Oreochromis niloticus: one gene and its partner. The main gene of each other region encodes a partner of the protein of the gene in region 2 in a complex. Links are inferred from orthologs where the notes say so. Each region holds a gene or a part of one and is shown on either strand. Other genes may lie near its edges.

Evidence for each region.
Region 1: the proteins of myo3b (region 2) and espn are in contact, whole or in part, in a crystal structure (PDB 5ET1), measured with the Mus musculus proteins. The link is inferred for Oreochromis niloticus from reciprocal best matches to the Homo sapiens genes MYO3B and ESPN. Residues at the interface, in XP_017174528.1 of Mus musculus: Arg1223, Arg1224, Gln1226, Gln1227, Pro1228, Lys1229, Met1230, Leu1231, Ser1232, Ser1233, Asp1236, Thr1237, Met1238, Tyr1239, Tyr1240, Asn1241, Gln1242, Leu1243; in NP_997570.1 of Mus musculus: Leu35, Ala37, His41, Arg45, Ala67, Asn69, Ala71, His75, Asp76, Ala79, Thr80, Asp101, Ser103, Leu110, Arg113, Phe114, Thr135, Thr137, Ala139, His143, Tyr144, Ala147, Thr169, Asn171, Tyr177, Leu178, Gln181, Ala203, Asp205, Met207.

Annotation. Positions count from the first base shown.
Region 1 is NC_031984.2:24,122,023-24,130,507, forward strand, and holds the start of espn (espin), read left to right. Parts: upstream 1-5,323; 5' UTR 5,324-6,071; coding exon 6,072-6,371; intron 6,372-8,485. UniProt on the Homo sapiens protein: Multifunctional actin-bundling protein. Plays a major role in regulating the organization, dimension, dynamics and signaling capacities of the actin filament-rich microvilli in the mechanosensory and chemosensory cells.
Region 2 is NC_031987.2:16,099,846-16,108,203, reverse strand, and holds the start of myo3b (myosin-IIIb), read right to left. Parts: upstream 3,569-8,358; 5' UTR 3,432-3,568; coding exon 3,320-3,431; intron 3,238-3,319; exon of another isoform or gene 3,146-3,237; coding exon of another isoform or gene 3,139-3,145; intron 3,019-3,138; coding exon 2,982-3,018; intron 1-2,981. Other genes in the region: E3 ubiquitin-protein ligase ubr3, read right to left, coding at 6,890-7,007, 7,225-7,364, 7,512-7,721, 8,013-8,192, 8,277-8,358.

The sequences.
Region 1 (8,485 bases), on a different chromosome or scaffold from region 2:
CTTTAAAACATTTAATCTTGTTGCTGATTTCTATTTTTATTTTATTTTTTTATTTCATTTCATTTTATTTTATTTTATGTTATTTTTTTCTGCACCATTATAAGTTCCTGCACAGTCCTTCAACCAGTGAGTGGGCGTGGTCTGCAGAGGTGCCCGCCCACAGACAGAAGCGTCTCTGTCAGTGAGCCTCCAAACCTCGTGTTCTAAAAGTGCGCTCAATACAACCTCAGCCATCAGACTGACTACACGGGACTTGATCCACGAGCACAGGATCGGCGTGTCACACGTGGTATGTTTTTCATTTTCAATTTAAACATACCCTTTATGATTATAAAATATATAGATAAATGTTAGATACAGTGTAGTAGTGTGGCTTTTCGTAGGAGATCTCAGCTATTTATAATAACATTTGTCTGCTGCTGTTTTATTATAATGGATGTATATATTTGAGATATTTGGTGTCACTATTTGAAGAAGACTGTGTTGTTTGCGCCGTAGTGTTTGGCCAACAAGCTGACACCTATAACTAAAGCTGTTATAACACGTGACCATGGGGTTTTACAATACTGCAGATTATCATTAACAATGCTTGCAAAGGAACCTGGGAGTCCATCTTTTGAGTTAGTTCAATTATGTTTATCTGCAGCAGAATAATATAACTGAGCTTAACTTTGAAAATAAGCTTTTCTTTTTATTCGACTTTTATCACTAGAGCATCAGAGTGCTGCCAAGGCCTTTTTGATTTTTTTTGCTGCAGATGTTGCATTGTTAAAGCTCCTGTCTTGTCAAATTAGTTGTCCTGTTTCTGTCCGGCACTAATGACCCTGAGTGTGAGAAACTCTGACCGCAGATATTCTCACTGCAGCTCACGGATGACTGGGTCGCTGTGGAGCAGACATCAGGGCTGCAGGGTAAGTTCAAGGGGACACAAGACTTCTACGTTTTGTCTCAAAGGCTGTGAGAACTACAGTAAAGGAAGTTTAAAGAAAGGAACTTTAGCAATATGATGGTAGGACTTGTCATAATGCCTTATGCTTAATATTTCTAAAAGTGCATTGTTCCAGGTATAATAATGCAAATTATTCGATAACCATTACTATGATAAAGAATGCAGATTATCTCTTAGGGTCTTACATGCCTGGAGCTTATTAGTCTGAGAAGAAAAATGTATAATTTTACACAACATCTGTGCTCAACCGCAGATGTTATAGAGTAAAAACTCATTTATATATGTTCAAACTGCAGGTGCACTCATATTTAGATTAAAAATAGGAACATTATAAAGGAATTACATCCTTTATGTCTTTAGAGCACAAATGTTCATATTTTCTAAATATATGTTGTAGCACAGACTTAAGCTGCAGAAAACTGACGTTTTTATCAATATAGGCCTATACAAAAACTTGCAGCTACAAATACAAAAGGTTTGTTGTTAATTTAAATATCTGGAGTATGCTTTATTTCTCATTACTATAATAATTCAATCTATGCATTGTATTAACTTTTTAATGCCTGATATATGGGACGTTATATAAACAATATGCCAGTCAAACCGAGAAAGAAAGAAAGAAAGAAAGAAAGAAAGAAAGAAAGAAAGAAAGAAAGAAAGAAAGAAAGAAAGAAAGAAAGAAGGCGTTTTGGGGATGGGAGAATGGAAAAGAATAAAGTATTTTCCTCGCTTTGTGTGTGTTGGTCTTCTTTCAGCAAATAAAGTTTATTTTTGTCTGGTGTCTTTTTTATGAACAGTAATCTTGCCGCAGTCCTTTTGTGGGTTCTTTTTTATATTAGCCTACATAATTACGTTGTTTATTTGGGAAATTTAGATTTGACACGATGATAATAAAGGCACACCTGTGTCTGTGGTTGAGCATGCCCTGCTGCACACCGGAGGCCCCTTCCCTGCACGCGCCCGAGTTTATCCAATCCAAAGCAATTCCTCTGTGGCACGCGCCGACCAGCAGGCTGGACAGGGAGCTATTACTCTGGCATATAGCCTAGTTATAAACGGGCTTTCAAAACTGCACCTCCTCACACGGAAAACTGAGACTGAAAACTGAATGAATATATGGTGGCTTTAATAAAGATAATAACGCATTTATCTTCAGTAGGTTAAAATGGTCAAGATAAAGTTACATTTTCCAGTATTTAAAGATGAATTTCCCCCTTTTTTCATAAAAAAGAAGTGTACTATCTGTGGCAGTCACTGACCACAGTAAACTCTCACGTCTAGATTATTTTGGGATCTTATTGTGTCAGAAATACTGAATTTTTCGGTTGTTGGGTTACAAGAGGTTGGTCCGAACTTGGTAGAGAATATCTCATTTAAATGTTCCCGCGTAGCAGCAGATGTGAACACACAATAGGTTAGATGGGGCCCACGCTCTGAATAATCGAGTCCAATTTGAATAACTGTCGCACTTCTGACGCGTGCAAGAAATATCCCAGCTTTCCCAGGCTCTGAGGGAGGGGGGAAACCGTTGGCAGCTTCTTTCCAGTTCAATGGGGATTTGGCTCCTCGCTGGTTGAGGTTGTTGGAATGTCTTTTAACAGTCCCTGGGAAAAGACTCCACAATTTCCTACACTTGATTAAACCCTGTGTTAGACCGATAATCAAAAGCTACAGCTGCAGCACAAAAGTACCCCGTCTTTTGCGTCTAGAGTCCACATACCAAAGTGGGAAATAATAAGCCCAAAACAAGGAGATGGATTAGTGTGGCAGTCAAATAATCTATACCGTATTTAATAAACGGGCAATTTAATTTTAGTGAGTAGCTAGAAGTTGAATACTCTCCTATAAAAAGGTCGACAGTTTTTTAAACTGTGGGTTTCGTGATAAATAAAAAATAAACTTTATTCAGATTCAGCTGAGGTTACATTCAGTTGAAGGTCATTATTTTTTCCCTGTGAGTCACAGCAGTGTGTCTGAAAATAAACAAACAGTGGTAGCGTATGGAAATGTGCGAAGATTTAATAGTGCCCATAAAACGACCACAATGTGCTTTGCTTCCGAGCTAACGGACTTGTTCCACATATATGTACTTTAGGCTGAGCTAAAAATCTTCTGGGTTAAATGGCCTCTCCTCCCCCCTCGTTTACCACCATTACTGTCCTCTGTCCTCTGGGGATTTGTAGTTAGCACGCTCGTGGGAATTCCCCCCTCCTCCTCCTTCAAATTGGCGCGCGGTGTCCATGACAGTTGGACCTGTGAGACAGATGGGGCGAAGAGGCACGCGCCGAGCACGAGACTCGCCCATACCCCCCGCCACCACCTCCTCCAAATACTCAGCAGTGAAACCACCCGCATCCCGCAGAAGTTGCCTGAGCGGAAAAATCAATCAACCTAGTCTGGCAGAAAGTTAACCTGGTGTGAAGCTTCATTATTTTTCAACATTTGCTCCACATCTAATCATTTAAATACCCTTTAAGCACACTCTAGTTATAGGCTGTAACTATAGCATGCACAGTCCTATTTGAATCCTGCTCTGGCAGTGTATACCAAGGCTGTATGTTTACAAAGCAGTTAGGGGAGCATATTTCTGAGTTTTGCTTATTTTTAAAGATAAAAATTAAGACTTTCAAATTTGTCGTTTTTTAGATGTTTTATCTGTGTCGTCCGGTGTGCAAGCTTATTTAAATGTGTAATTTTTCAAATAACTTGACGCATGAACACCTGTACCAGGTGGAGATAAGCTGCAGAATACAAGGCTTTCCTGCCACCGTTTGGTGATGAAATGTATTACATTTCGTTGCAATATGTTCATAGAAATACAGACAGCCCGTCTGGATCATTTGCATTGAAACTTGACCTTTGAAACTTTTGTTGAAACTGTCAGTAAGGCGACGTAGAAGATAATCTACACCAACATGTGCTTCTATACCTTATTGAGGTATAGCTGCTAAACGTTTAAAGTAGGTAGCTTTTCCACACTATGGACAAGAGTACTGAACATCTACACATTACACCTACAGGAGCTGCTCAGCCCATGCCATTGAGCTCCCGGTACAGATTTTGTGCTGACTGTAATGCCAGAGCAGGTTCGCAGCCCTGCAGTTATTGGGTCAGTCGAGCTTTGGAGACTTTTACTCAATATGCGCCTCAGTACTCAGCGACCCTACTCCATAACTTTACTTGGTCTGAAACTTTATGTCTTAGTTGCTGAGTTTCCTTCAAATTTGCAGTTAAACCACTTACAGTTAGTTGATCGTTAAACATCTTCCATAGGGGGAAATATCAAAACATTTCAATGGCATCCTATCACTAATCCTGCTCCAGAAAGACCCATTTTTTCACAAATATTTGCAAAGTCAGAGTGCGTGGCTAGGTGCTTGATTACTGAACACACATGAATTCAAAGATGTGTGTGTGTGTGTGTGTGTGTGTGTGTGTGTGTGTGTGCGTGCGTGCGTGCGTGCGTGCGTGTGTGTGTGTGATCAAAAAGGTGTGGCTCAATGCGTTTTCTCCATAAAGTGCACGTAGGTTGGACTTCAGCAGCGTTGGAATACACATTTGCATTCTTATATGTAATGCAATAAATAAATAAAGAAAGAAAGAATAGAATAAAATCATAAATTGCTTTTGCAATCTTGCACTCATTCATTGTGCATTCATTATCATGAATATTTACTTTGTCCAAATGCAAAGAAAAACAAAAAACAGTCCCGTATCTGTGCAACACGTTATAACTTGCCATCAGCATTTTTTTTTCATTAAGGGGATGCTAATTTGAGCTATTTTATTTCATGTTTGGCACCCAAACAATGAAACACACATCACTGGCGTAAGTGCACTAAAATGCATAAACGATCATTAGGCCGCAGGATACGACTACTTCTCATGATTTATCCGGTTTCAATATCACGCATTTATTCCTCAGAAATAACTTGCTCATCTTTTAATGTGGTATCATTTAAGATGTATAACTATTTCCAATTGACGTATTAACATGCGGTCTATAATGACAATCAATATAATTACTTTTTTTTCATCTCAGTGAGGAACCGACTTTTATTGGGACAATATATTGGCTCGGTGCCGAAAAAAAGCAGTATGTGTTCAAGAGTAACATTTGAAAAACTGAGAAAGGAAAAAGCAGGTCTAGTGACAGCTTACCTGTGAATTTCTACAGCCTGGTTATGCGCTCACCCAATAAAAAAAAACAAACAACAACGTTATTTTGGGGGGTGGGGGGGTTAAACTTCTGCGAAAGGCCACTAGATGGACCTCTGGAGTGCAAAAGTATGCTCTGGTCCTGTGATACTGATTTCACTGCCACATGTAATATTAATGCTGTTTGCAAACAGGATCTGGGGTGTGTTCACAAAGTCCATTGCTGAATTAATGTTTCCTTGTGGGTCTATCTTGACTGACAGCGACGAGCACCTTCACCCTAGCAGCATAATTAATGTATATCCAGAGTTGTAAGTAGCATGTACGTACTGCTCCTTTAATTTCTGAGCCGATTTCCAGAAAGCAGCAACCTGTAACAGGCTCAGTGATCCTCCCCCTGATGGATTATTTAACAGGCGCTGAGTCGTCCCATGTCGCCATCTGCTATAGGAAGAAAAACACAGCGGAATATTCCCTGGGGCGCATGATACGCGATAGTTATTCAGCAGCGAAAAAAAGGTTAATAAACTAATGTTTGGGGGAAAGATAGTTTAGACCGGCTGGTAACCCAGAACACAACTTGTGCAACAGGTGGATGCTATTGGAGACAGCAGAAGCGGATAACCTACTGAGCTACAACGTCGGGCCAGACAAAGCCTAAGAAAGAGGTTAGTTTGTCAGTCGGGTATGAAGTTTTACTTCAGCATGTAAATATTGCACTACCTGGAAAAAAACAACTAATGAACGATAAAGGGATCTTGCATTTGAACAGCGCTTTGGGAAGACCCATGGAGCGATAACTGAGCGTCTCTCCCACCACCACCCCACCCCAAAATTAACTAGGCTACTGACATGATCCACTCATTTATAAATACAGCTCTGACCCTATCCGCACTATCTGCACGGTGATCGGGTCAACGGAGTCAACCAAAGGAAGGAAGGAGACGCGCAATCTGCAGCAGTCATGGTGGTGGAGGGTGACAAGACCCTGCTGGCCGCAAGGCAGGGGGACGTGCAGACTTTGAAAGTGCAATTAGCGGCAAATGCGCTGACCAGCGACGTCAAGGATGCGCTGGGAGCTTCGCCCGTCCACCACGCAGCCCGGGCGGGGAAGTTAGCCTGCCTGCGGTTTTTGGTGGAGGAGGCAGGGCTGCCGAGCGATTCTGTGGCAAATAACGGGGCAAGCCCGGCGCACGACGCAGCAGCAACCGGCAACCTGACATGCCTACAGTGGCTACTGACCCAAGGTGGATGTCGGCCAGAGGTGAGTTACTACAGTTGTAGCTGGATCGGTCTAAAAGTGTAGCAGACAGTAGCCTAACTCTGCTTCATCCGACTTGGCTGTCATTTCTCATCTGTGGAGCCTACTCCAACCTCCCTTTGAATCAGCTCTCCTCCTTAAAGCACATTGCATCTATTTTAGTGCCTTAAACCTACACGTTTTTCCTAACATACACATTAAAATCCTTCTCCTTAAGAATAAAGTCCTTAAGCTTTTATTTTAACATAACCTTCTGTGGGGTTTGCGGGTTGTTTTGTGTCACTGTCAGGTATTTTGCTCCCAAGTCCATTTGGTGTGCTCTAAATGTCCTGATGATGTTGTTAATTCTCTTGTAATCTTTAAAGTTTTGACTATAAAAGCAGAAGGTTTAAAAACCCACTGGTGTTTTGAAAAAAACGGACCTTCCCCTTTCACAAGGCACTGAAAGTTGTTTTCATGTTGTTTTGGTAAGGTACTGAAATGCAACAAATTCAAACACTGTTGTAGGTATGAAAGAAATCACATTAAATACCTGCAGTATAGTAAGTACACAGAAAATACTATCAACTATAGGGCACTGGAAATGGTGTACAATTAGACTTTTTCTTTTTTAATTTAAGGCTAAAAACCTAGTTTTCACTGTTATGTCATGTTTCTATGGTAATAAAGTATGCAAAACTGGATTTGCAAATCCAATATCTTCTGTATAGTAAAAACAGTGACTCACAAAAGGCACAAAAAGAAACACATAATGACAGTGTAGTTTGATATTATAATGAGGGGTGGTGTTTGGTGCTGTAAGGACTGAAGTTTCACATGATGAAATAAATCTTATTAACCCTTTTGACCTTTTATTGTTCCTATTTGTGCACATGGTGTTTTCTCACCTGGGAAGGAGTCATAGTAAAAGCTCCAACACAATAACATAATCCATACCATAAGTATTCAGTGGGTTTCTCGTTTTTTCTTATTAGGTAATACATTAAATCTCTCAGCTTTAATTTGTGTAGGTTTCCACCAATACTAAAAAGCCTGTTTGAGGAGTTTTATATCCCTCTTAACACAGTTCTCCGGCAGCTGTGCGTCTTTTTAGTGCTCATGCACATAAGAGCTGATGGAGACTGGTGAGTTGACATTTAGACTCATGTGGAGTTGTCTGCTGATATTAAGAATAAAGTGTTGACAGTGTCACTAAAGAAACCACTGGACCCACAAAACAATGAGACTCAAAAAGCACAACTCTGTCAAAGAGGTATCAAAGATGCCTTGTAAAAATAAAAATTAGACTTCAGTTGAAAAAAATAGGAACACAGGAGCAGAAATCTTGTGAATAAGTGCAAAATCCACTCGAGAATGATCTCAGGGCATATTTTTGCTTTATTTGAATCTCAGACGATTCTTAAATCGATTTGTCTTTTACTATTTAACTCTCAAAATCTGGACACCTCGTAAAGGTTATTCTATATTGATATAATTCTTTTCAAATTGAAGCTGAGCATTGCCTTATGTATAATTTCTCATGAAATACAGATATCCAGATACAGATTTACATTTTGGCATGGTCCTAATTTACAACACTTAAATGTATAAACACATAAAAGTTATTCTTGTATATACTTTGTAGTATACTGCATATTCCTGCATATTCCAGAAAGATACACAGATGTCTATCCGTTGTGCCCTTAATAGGAAATTCAGTTTTAGAGTTTACCAATATGATAATGAAGAGGAGGAGGAGGAGGAGCTTTGCTTGACTCACCCATGGGTCTGATTTATCTTCACCTTCTTGAGCAGAGGTAAAAGCGAAACTGACAAAGTGACAAATCCATATTATGTCTTGAGTACAACACAGTTCTACAACCCAGCAGTATTAAGTTATCCACGTGAAGAACAGTCATAAGCACTCTGTCGTCAAGTGACAAACAGTGCCCACAAATGAACTGACAAGATACTTGACTGGTATGTAGTCAAAGCTCTCAGTTACCACTTGCACTACAGTACACTTGAGTGCTGGCTTTCACTTTTGTTTTCTTTTTTCTTGTTTGTGTTTCAAAACTATTATCATGAGTCTACTTGATGCTAACACCATTAGTCTGTAGCAGTGCACTACCTCAGAC
Region 2 (8,358 bases):
ATTTGTCACATTTTGATTAATCACTACAACAGTAGCAAATAAGGGGGAAAAAAACACAATTTGACTGTAATTTTTTAACAAACTAATTAAAAACACAGAGTGCGTGTTTCTTCAGTTTTTTGTGCAAATTAAAAATATTTTTAGACACAAAAGGTTCTCTCCACTCGTGTATTCGCAGCTGAAACAGCAGCTCCAAACGACCATGCCTTCATTTAATCTCCTTCACAATTACAGGTATTTTAGTTTTCAAATAAAATTTCTCTGACTATAATTTGTAGGCAGGTACAATCTACGACGAGGGATCGCAAAATAGACAGAGCAAAGTTTTATAGCATCTAAGAGAAGAAAAAAACAGGCTGGGAGATGCTGAAATAGAAAACAAGATCAATTTCTTGATTTTTTTTTCTTGCATTCAACTTGACATGTGTGCTAAGTGATACAGACTTGTTCGAGCTCTTTTTTACTGCTAGAAGGCAACAAGAATTTCCAAACACTTCTCTTTAAATGGGCAGGAGATGCAGTGAAATAGCGCTTAAGAACAGGACACCGCTGCTCTTCGATTGCAGTGCTCAGGTTACCCTTTGTTTACTATTCTTATCAGCACAGCTGAAAAAAGGGATGCTGTGTCTGATACACAGTGGTACACGGTATTTTCTGTTACAAAACAGGAATATGTACATAGTATCACGGTGATCATATTTGGAATAACTACCCTGCTCTGCCTTTGCTCATCGGGCACATTTTCTGTGCATCTACATAATGCTAAGTCTAGGTCTGAGGCGGTAACAGCTGTACGTGACGTGACCGGCTGCAGCACATCTTTGTCACCAGAAACAGTACAGAGTGAAAGGCAGTAATCTAATTTTCTGCTTCCATCAAACTCGCACAATTCCACCCTCTGTGGCAGAGCCTTATGGGAAGTCCGCTGGGTAAACCCCTTTGGTAAGTCTATGGAGAGGGGAAAAAAACCAATAATCCCTTTTAAGGGGATATGAAGAGGCTTTACGGTAAACCTCCACTAGCCATGAGTCAGGCCTGAAGCATTTCGCCCTTGTTCTCACCCTGAAAGGCCAAAGCCTCACATGAGCAGAGACAAATGCATTTATTTTAAACATTAACATCTTTAATCTTAGCGGTGCACCTGCATGATTAATGATCCCTGATTGACATCTTTGGATACACAAAGCATCAACCGTATTAACAAAAAGGCACCATCATCATCTAAGTAATCAGTCTTAAATGAATTATAATTTCTTATTTATAATTAATTATAAATTAACCTCAGTCATATAATCACAAACACCACAGCTGTGTCACTGTGATGGATGTGAGTATGGCAGTGCTACCATTTAAATGCAACATAACTGAATGAAAAAGCATCTGCAATCGTAGCAGGGAAGCAATTTTTTGTTCGTACATTTGTTTTGGTCAATCGTCAGTCAGTTTGTGAAATTTCTTCCCTCCTAGATATTCAATTGATCTATTGTACGCGATATTACTGCAAAGTGGAAAACATGTAGGCATGACAAGCAAACCACGTAAAGTTTACAGGGGTTGAGTGAGGCGGACAGTGTGTAAAAGTTGCCAATGCTCTGATGACTCCATAGCTCTGTACTCATTTGGCATTAACATCAGCACCAAAACTGTGTGCTGGGAGCTTCATGGCCAAGCAGCTCCTGTTGATGTAATGTGTAGGTGACCCATTGCTTTTTTCTTTAGTGTTACTCTAATAATGTATTACCTAAAGTCAGGTCTTTAAGTGTTTCACACAGTGTTGTGTATGGACACCAACACATGATGTAATCAGCAAGTGATTTAATTGTACACTTTAAACTTTAATTCAAGGGGTTTAAGAAACAGGTTTACATGCAGCTTTAAGCCATGTGTAGTCTGTTTCCACATTATTGGCATATAAAGTCTGGAGTTGATTCCAATTGTTTAAGTTTGGCAGCTGTTGAGAATGAGAATTCATAACATAGAGACAATAAGAGGCATCAGACTAAGTAAAGAAGGCTAAAGAAGGCTACCATAAGGCAGAAAAATACCAAACGGACCTATCAGAGAGACAGGAAGCTTCAGAAGTGGCCAAATCAACAATGCAGTAAAGAGGGTGATTACAGAATCTTTTACTTGGAAAACCACTTCACAGCATCTAACCAAATCAACAGCAGTTCTGAGGCTTTTGGTGTATTTATTGTGAAAGTCTACAATTAAAGAGATGCAAACAACATGCCAAAATAGTCGCTGGAAAACATCAAGTTCTAAAAGAAATTCTTTGGACCAATGAAACTTGTACACAATGATGGGAAAACAAGACTCAAACGGGCTTGTGATCCAAAACAGACCCCTTGAAAACACAGAGGAGGTGGTGTGGCAGCATGGGCCTGTTTGGCTGCCGACTGAACTGGGTCACTGATGTTTATTGACTAGAAGCAGGACAGCTTCTTAAATGCATGGACCTCTGCTCAAGCCCAATGCTTCTTAATGCCAATAAAGAGAATACTCTTAAACATCAGAGTCAGTCACCTGACCACGTCTTTCACTAAGTAAAGAAAAACTGAAGGTGGTGTAGGTCTGGCAAAGCCTATAAAAGAAGGAAATTCAGAGTGTGATGAAGCTTCTGTACTAAAGATGGAAGTGTACATTTCACATCATTATTATTTTTGCCTTAAATCCACTGTGGTAATGAACAGAGACAAAGAGAAAAAAAAGAAAAAAATGAGCATTTTAAGCTAAAGTGATTGTAAAACACAAAAATGTTGTATATATTGCGATTTTTGCATAACTATCATAATGTAGCCTATTTAACTTTTTTTTTCATCTAACTTCCGGTTTCTTCACTGAATGATTGCTGGTTTACAGTATTTCACAGAGTACAGTAAAACCAAACTGACACAGTGATTAAAGATATCCAGATTTAAGGTTTAGGGCTGTGCATTTTCTTTTTAGCAGAGCTACAGATGAGGAGTCTCGTTACCTACCTCGACATTGTCGCCTCAGTATTTTCATCTCTGTCATCTGCAAAAGAGGAAACTGTTTAAGACAGAGCATCACTGCACAGCTGCATCTCCATCTCCGTGTGAGTTTAATAAAGGCCTAAAGCACACTGTCTGAATCAACTCTTTAGACCCAGCTTACCGTCCATAGCAACATATGCGAAGTAATTTCCCTGTTTATTCAGCAAAGACTTTAATTATTAACAGTATGGACACCTGAGCATGTTGTCCTGCAGACCGGAAGCGGTTAACTGGCTGACCAGTATCACCTGATGTAACCTTGAATAGTCTATTCATGCTCTGGGGAGCAGCGTTTTACTTACCTGCGTGGGGGGAAAAGAAGGAGATGTCGAGTGATGCCCCCCGGAGGACGGTCTGTAACAGTAGCATCTCCCAGCCTGACACTGGTGACACGGTCTCAGCTGTGTCCTTCATAAAAACTCCCAGCCTGTGCAGATTACTTTTTTTTCTTACTTCCTTTTGGCCTAATTGGTAGCAAACAAAGCCTTTGTGTGACCATTGGTCTTTACCCAGAGGGCCTCAGACCAATTATCCTGCTCAGTCACATGGCAATGAAACCTCTTTTTCAGAGCACTGGGCCGGAGACTAGATGGAGCAGTGCAAGGAGAAACCAGCACAGACGGCTACTTGTTTCCAATTGCATTGTAGTTTTCCTTTTTTATAATGATAATGGTTGAGTACTGGATTTTAAAATATATTCAACTTTTTTTGTAGCACCTCTATTCTTGCCTTTGTTGAAAACTTGACCAGATCTGTCTGACTCTGCCTCCTCAGATTTGAGCACCAATGGCCCAAAGACCTGCAGTTTTCATTTTGAGGTGCACAATGACCAGTCACCGCTTCTTCACTCAGCACAGTAAATAACATTCATCATTTCTTTGCAATGTAATCTTCCTGTGGGAATGTTAGCTAAACATTATTGCAAATCAGTCTACTCCCAGAGAAGGCGCTACCAGATGGGAGCATCCTCTCACAGCAGGAATAATACAGTGAAGTCTGAATGAGTATCTCCAGAATTTGCTGTTCAGCCTCAGAGGTGTACGTGTCATAACATTCACATTACCTCTAGAAGTCACAATAGTGAAAAAAGACCGACGTAAGCCAAGATTAGATAAAAACTTTAATATTTTTCTTTAATTTAATCATTACTAGGGAAGATTAGAGTCCTCTGATTAGAGTTTTGTGTTATGTCTGCTGAAAATTTAGTCCTGTCACTTATATTTGATGATGTGTAGATGCACACATTGTGACACACCTTCCTAGTAACAGGTTGGACCTTCTCTTCATGTGTCTTCAAGGCACAAACTCAACGAGGTTCTGGAAACAGAACAGATTTTGGACCATACTGACATGATAGCATCTGGCAGAGTGGCTGCAGATTTTTTTTAAACTACATATCATTAATTTGAATCTCCTGTTCTATCACATCCCAAAGGTGCTCTGTTGGATTGAGATCCAGTACAGAGAAATCACTCTCATGTTCAAGATGATCATAAAGAAGAAAAAAGACACAAAATCATTGTGTTTATATTTTATTCACATATGTTACATTTTGCATTAAATGTCCCAAGTCACACTTTCTGGTCAAACTCAGAAAGTTTGAGTCAGCACCTACAGTAATGTACTGTATTCTCTCCCCATTCATACAGGAAAACACACAAAAGCTTTCAGTTACAATTTACACCCATCGTTGGCTATTTGGTTGCGGTCATTAACAAAGTGGGTACAACAAAAATAAAAGAGACAGGAGAAAACACAAAAGCAGCATGCATGAATTCAAGAGGAAGTTTTTCAAGTGTTGACTTGTTCCTTAGAGATTCTGCGATGCAGCACAATGTGACCCAGCATTTCAAAACCAGACATCAGGAATATCAGCTGTGTGCTGATCACTGTAAGTAAGCATTAAAAAAAAAAGGGGGGGTCCTATTATGCCTTTTCTCTTTTTCTGTCATTTACAAATAAACTGGCTCATTGATGGACGCCAATAACAGCTAATTCCTTGAAGCTGCTCAGTTCACAACAGTTTTCCCAACTCTTGTGCCGAACTGCAGTTTTGAATGTGAGATGAGGAGGCGGAGCTTACAAGCACTAGGTTTAGTTTTTTTGGACACCAGGCAAAGGGCAGCCAATCAGAAGAAAGTGAGCTTTTAGGCTGACAGAGGCTTGAAGAGGCATTTTAAAGAAGAAGAAGAAGAAGAAGAAATGATAATAAATAAGGGGCTTTTTATGTTCTTGTGAACTGTGAAGAAGCAAAGTTTCTCTAATGAAGTCTCATTTAAAATCATGGAGCTGGAAATAAGCATAATAGGCCCCCTTAATCTTGCAGGCACGGCTGGATGAAACTTCTCTTCCAGGGAAAAAAAAAAAGATGATAATCAAAAAATGAAGTAGCTAAGACACTTAAATAATGGTGGCTTAAAGGATGTCATGCACAGTGTATAACGGATACTCAAGTCTGATAGTCTTGCAATGTTGGAATGCAACTATAAATCACAACTACATGGTGCATGATGTATAACAGATAGTTGTTAATAATAATAATAATAATAATAATGATAATAATAATAATAAATGTTCTGTACTGCAGTTTATGACCTGGCAATCAGAAGCGTAAAGGGAAAGCCTTTTTCTGATGGCACAGAAAGACGAGTGACAAGTACTGCAGTCTCCTCACAGAAGCAACACAACTCCCACCGAGTTTCATACCTCGAGAGAACACTCTGACAGAACTGATGTAGCATTTTTGCTCTTGCATGACGCTCAGGACACCAGATGCGCGGTGAGATCTCTTTGCCTTCCCTCAATGTTTAGACTTTGGGTTTATACGGGGGCGGTGATGATGAGGCTTAAGACAGCTCAGTGTCTTAAAGGTGGAGTTTTGAGTTAAACAGTGTGAAAAGGCCAATGCTATGAAAAGTGTAGTGGGTGTAATTTGGTGACCGCACACCTCCTTAACCATTAAACTGAGTTTGAGTCAACATTCCCAACCATCTACGGTAAACCCAAAACACAACCTTAGGAAAAAAACAAAAAAAAAACAAATTCTTCAAAGTTAAAATTAATTACTTGAACAATGAGCAGCAGCATTTATTTAAATATCTAAAACATATTTCAGCAAAAACAAAAAAAAACAAAAAAATTCCTGAGGATGGATTGCAACTAGACCCATAAAAGAAAGAGTCTTTGCTTGTTAGCAAAATAAACTCTAGTGTGTTGATGGGTGGACTTGTCCTGCCTCCTATCACATGTCAGCAGACAATGAGTGCACACTGCAGTAACATTGCTATACTTACCAGGAGCTTGAAACTCATGCCAGCACAGCAGAGCACATTTTGATAAATAATAGGGATATGCGTTTACATCAGAAATGGTGGTAAAAGTAATCAAACATTGCAGGGACAATCAGCAATTGATTTTTTGTTTTGTTTTTTAAACCAAATAAACTGGAGAGACTTTAAAAGCCTGATCCAAACCAATTCAGTTTGTGGGCAAATTTGTGCTTTTTTTTTTTTAATCCCCCCCCCCCCCCCCCCCCCCCTCCCTCGCTTTTTCTTTGTTGTTTTTTTACTTTTTTACTTTAATCTCACCAAATTCTGTTTTTCCCTGTAGAAAAACCACACAATAAATCACTTGAACACACACACGTGTTAAATCTTTAGGCATGACTGTACACCAAACTTCACATAAACCAAGGCTGTGGCAGAAATAGCCCTCGCTGGATGTTTGTGTTTATCACAGCAAGAGTTTCCAATTATTTTGATCAAGGCAGACACATAAGCCAGAAGGAAAACAAAATCCCTAAAAAAAGAAAAACCTAAAAAAAAAATCTTCTCCATCATGGGATGTGGTTTTTCAGTGGACTTTGGAAGATCTTAGAGTCCATTATAATGAGGCCCCCAACGCTTATTGATGTGATCAAAGGTGTGTGAAACCCACTGTTGCTCCAACACTCGATACCGCTCCTCACATAAGTAGAGAGGCTTGCCACGACTGGAAATATGCCAGAGGGGGGAAAACAAGAGTGAGAGCAGCAAGGATGGGAAAAAAAAGGGAACTACATTTAAATTCATACTAGAATCACACCAAGTGTTATGAGTGTACTTAAAGAGTTGCTCTAAAGACTCTATACTATCTATTAACAAAAAAGTGTGATGAAGACAGATGTGTACAGTTGTTGTCTTTCATGACTGGGTGTTATGCGTCTTACCGTAAATCCCGATCTTCCTCTCCGTGTGCATCAAGGTAAACAGAGCCCCACAGACAGAAACGATGTCCACGGATGATGATGATGACTGAAGCATTTATCAGTAGAAAGATGCCTGTCGCAGCGCCACAATGTTGGGAGTGCTACAAAGTGACAAGTGTGGGGGACAAAAAAAGGTTTGCTAAAAGCTGACAACTTCAACAAGCAGCTATGTCAATTCTGCATGCTGGGCCTCACTGAGAATGCTTTGAAGATGATAAAAATGGAACTATAAACCCGGGAAAACTCACCAAAACACATTCACAGATACCCTGCTGCTTGCAGCACACGCCTTTGAGACAGACGAAAGCGCCGCAAACAAGGCAGAGCGCGGGGTCTTTTGGCACCTTTTTGCAGGCAGAGCAGGCCTTTCTGTGATAGTACTGGAAGATGATATTGTAGTTGTCAGGCAGCTGCAGGAGGCGGGGCGCTGCCCACTGAGGATCATGGACCAGCAAGGTCTGAGGAGGAGAAGACAGACACCCAGCAATGAACTTGATTTTATCTCCTTACTACACTTTGACCCAAAAGAGGAGGCCACAAGACACGTGGTCAGCTAGACACACGTGAGAGGTACAACAAAGGCTAAAACTAAACTTTAAATACAGGAATCAGATGTGGCACATTAAGTTAAATTAAAATCCAAGTATTTGTTATAGAATATGTGAGTATTTTTTGATTGGCATTTTAAAAAACCTTTACTTGCTTTGCTCGACTGCACGCTGTTAAAAATGAGAAGTTCATAAACATACCAGTGACTCCTCAGCATGTATCTGAGAGAGCCCTTTGACCTCAGCGCCCCACTGCGTCACCAAGTCAAAGGTGTTGACTGGCCACTCCAGACACGAGGCACTTTGCACGGTGTTGGCAGGCTGAGGGGCGGAGGGCAAAAGCCCTAAACACACAGCCAAGGATGCAAACTCCTCTTCCTCCTGTGAGAAGCCAAACCACTTTGCCGTCAGTTAGTCTGAAAGGGCAGTTTTAACATTTAGGATGACATTTATGATGAATCGTACCAAGCAGCCGGTTAGGTTGTCTCCATACAGGTGGTGCTGCAAAAGGCAGGAGAGGCGCAGGAAGGGCAGGCAGAACTGCTGC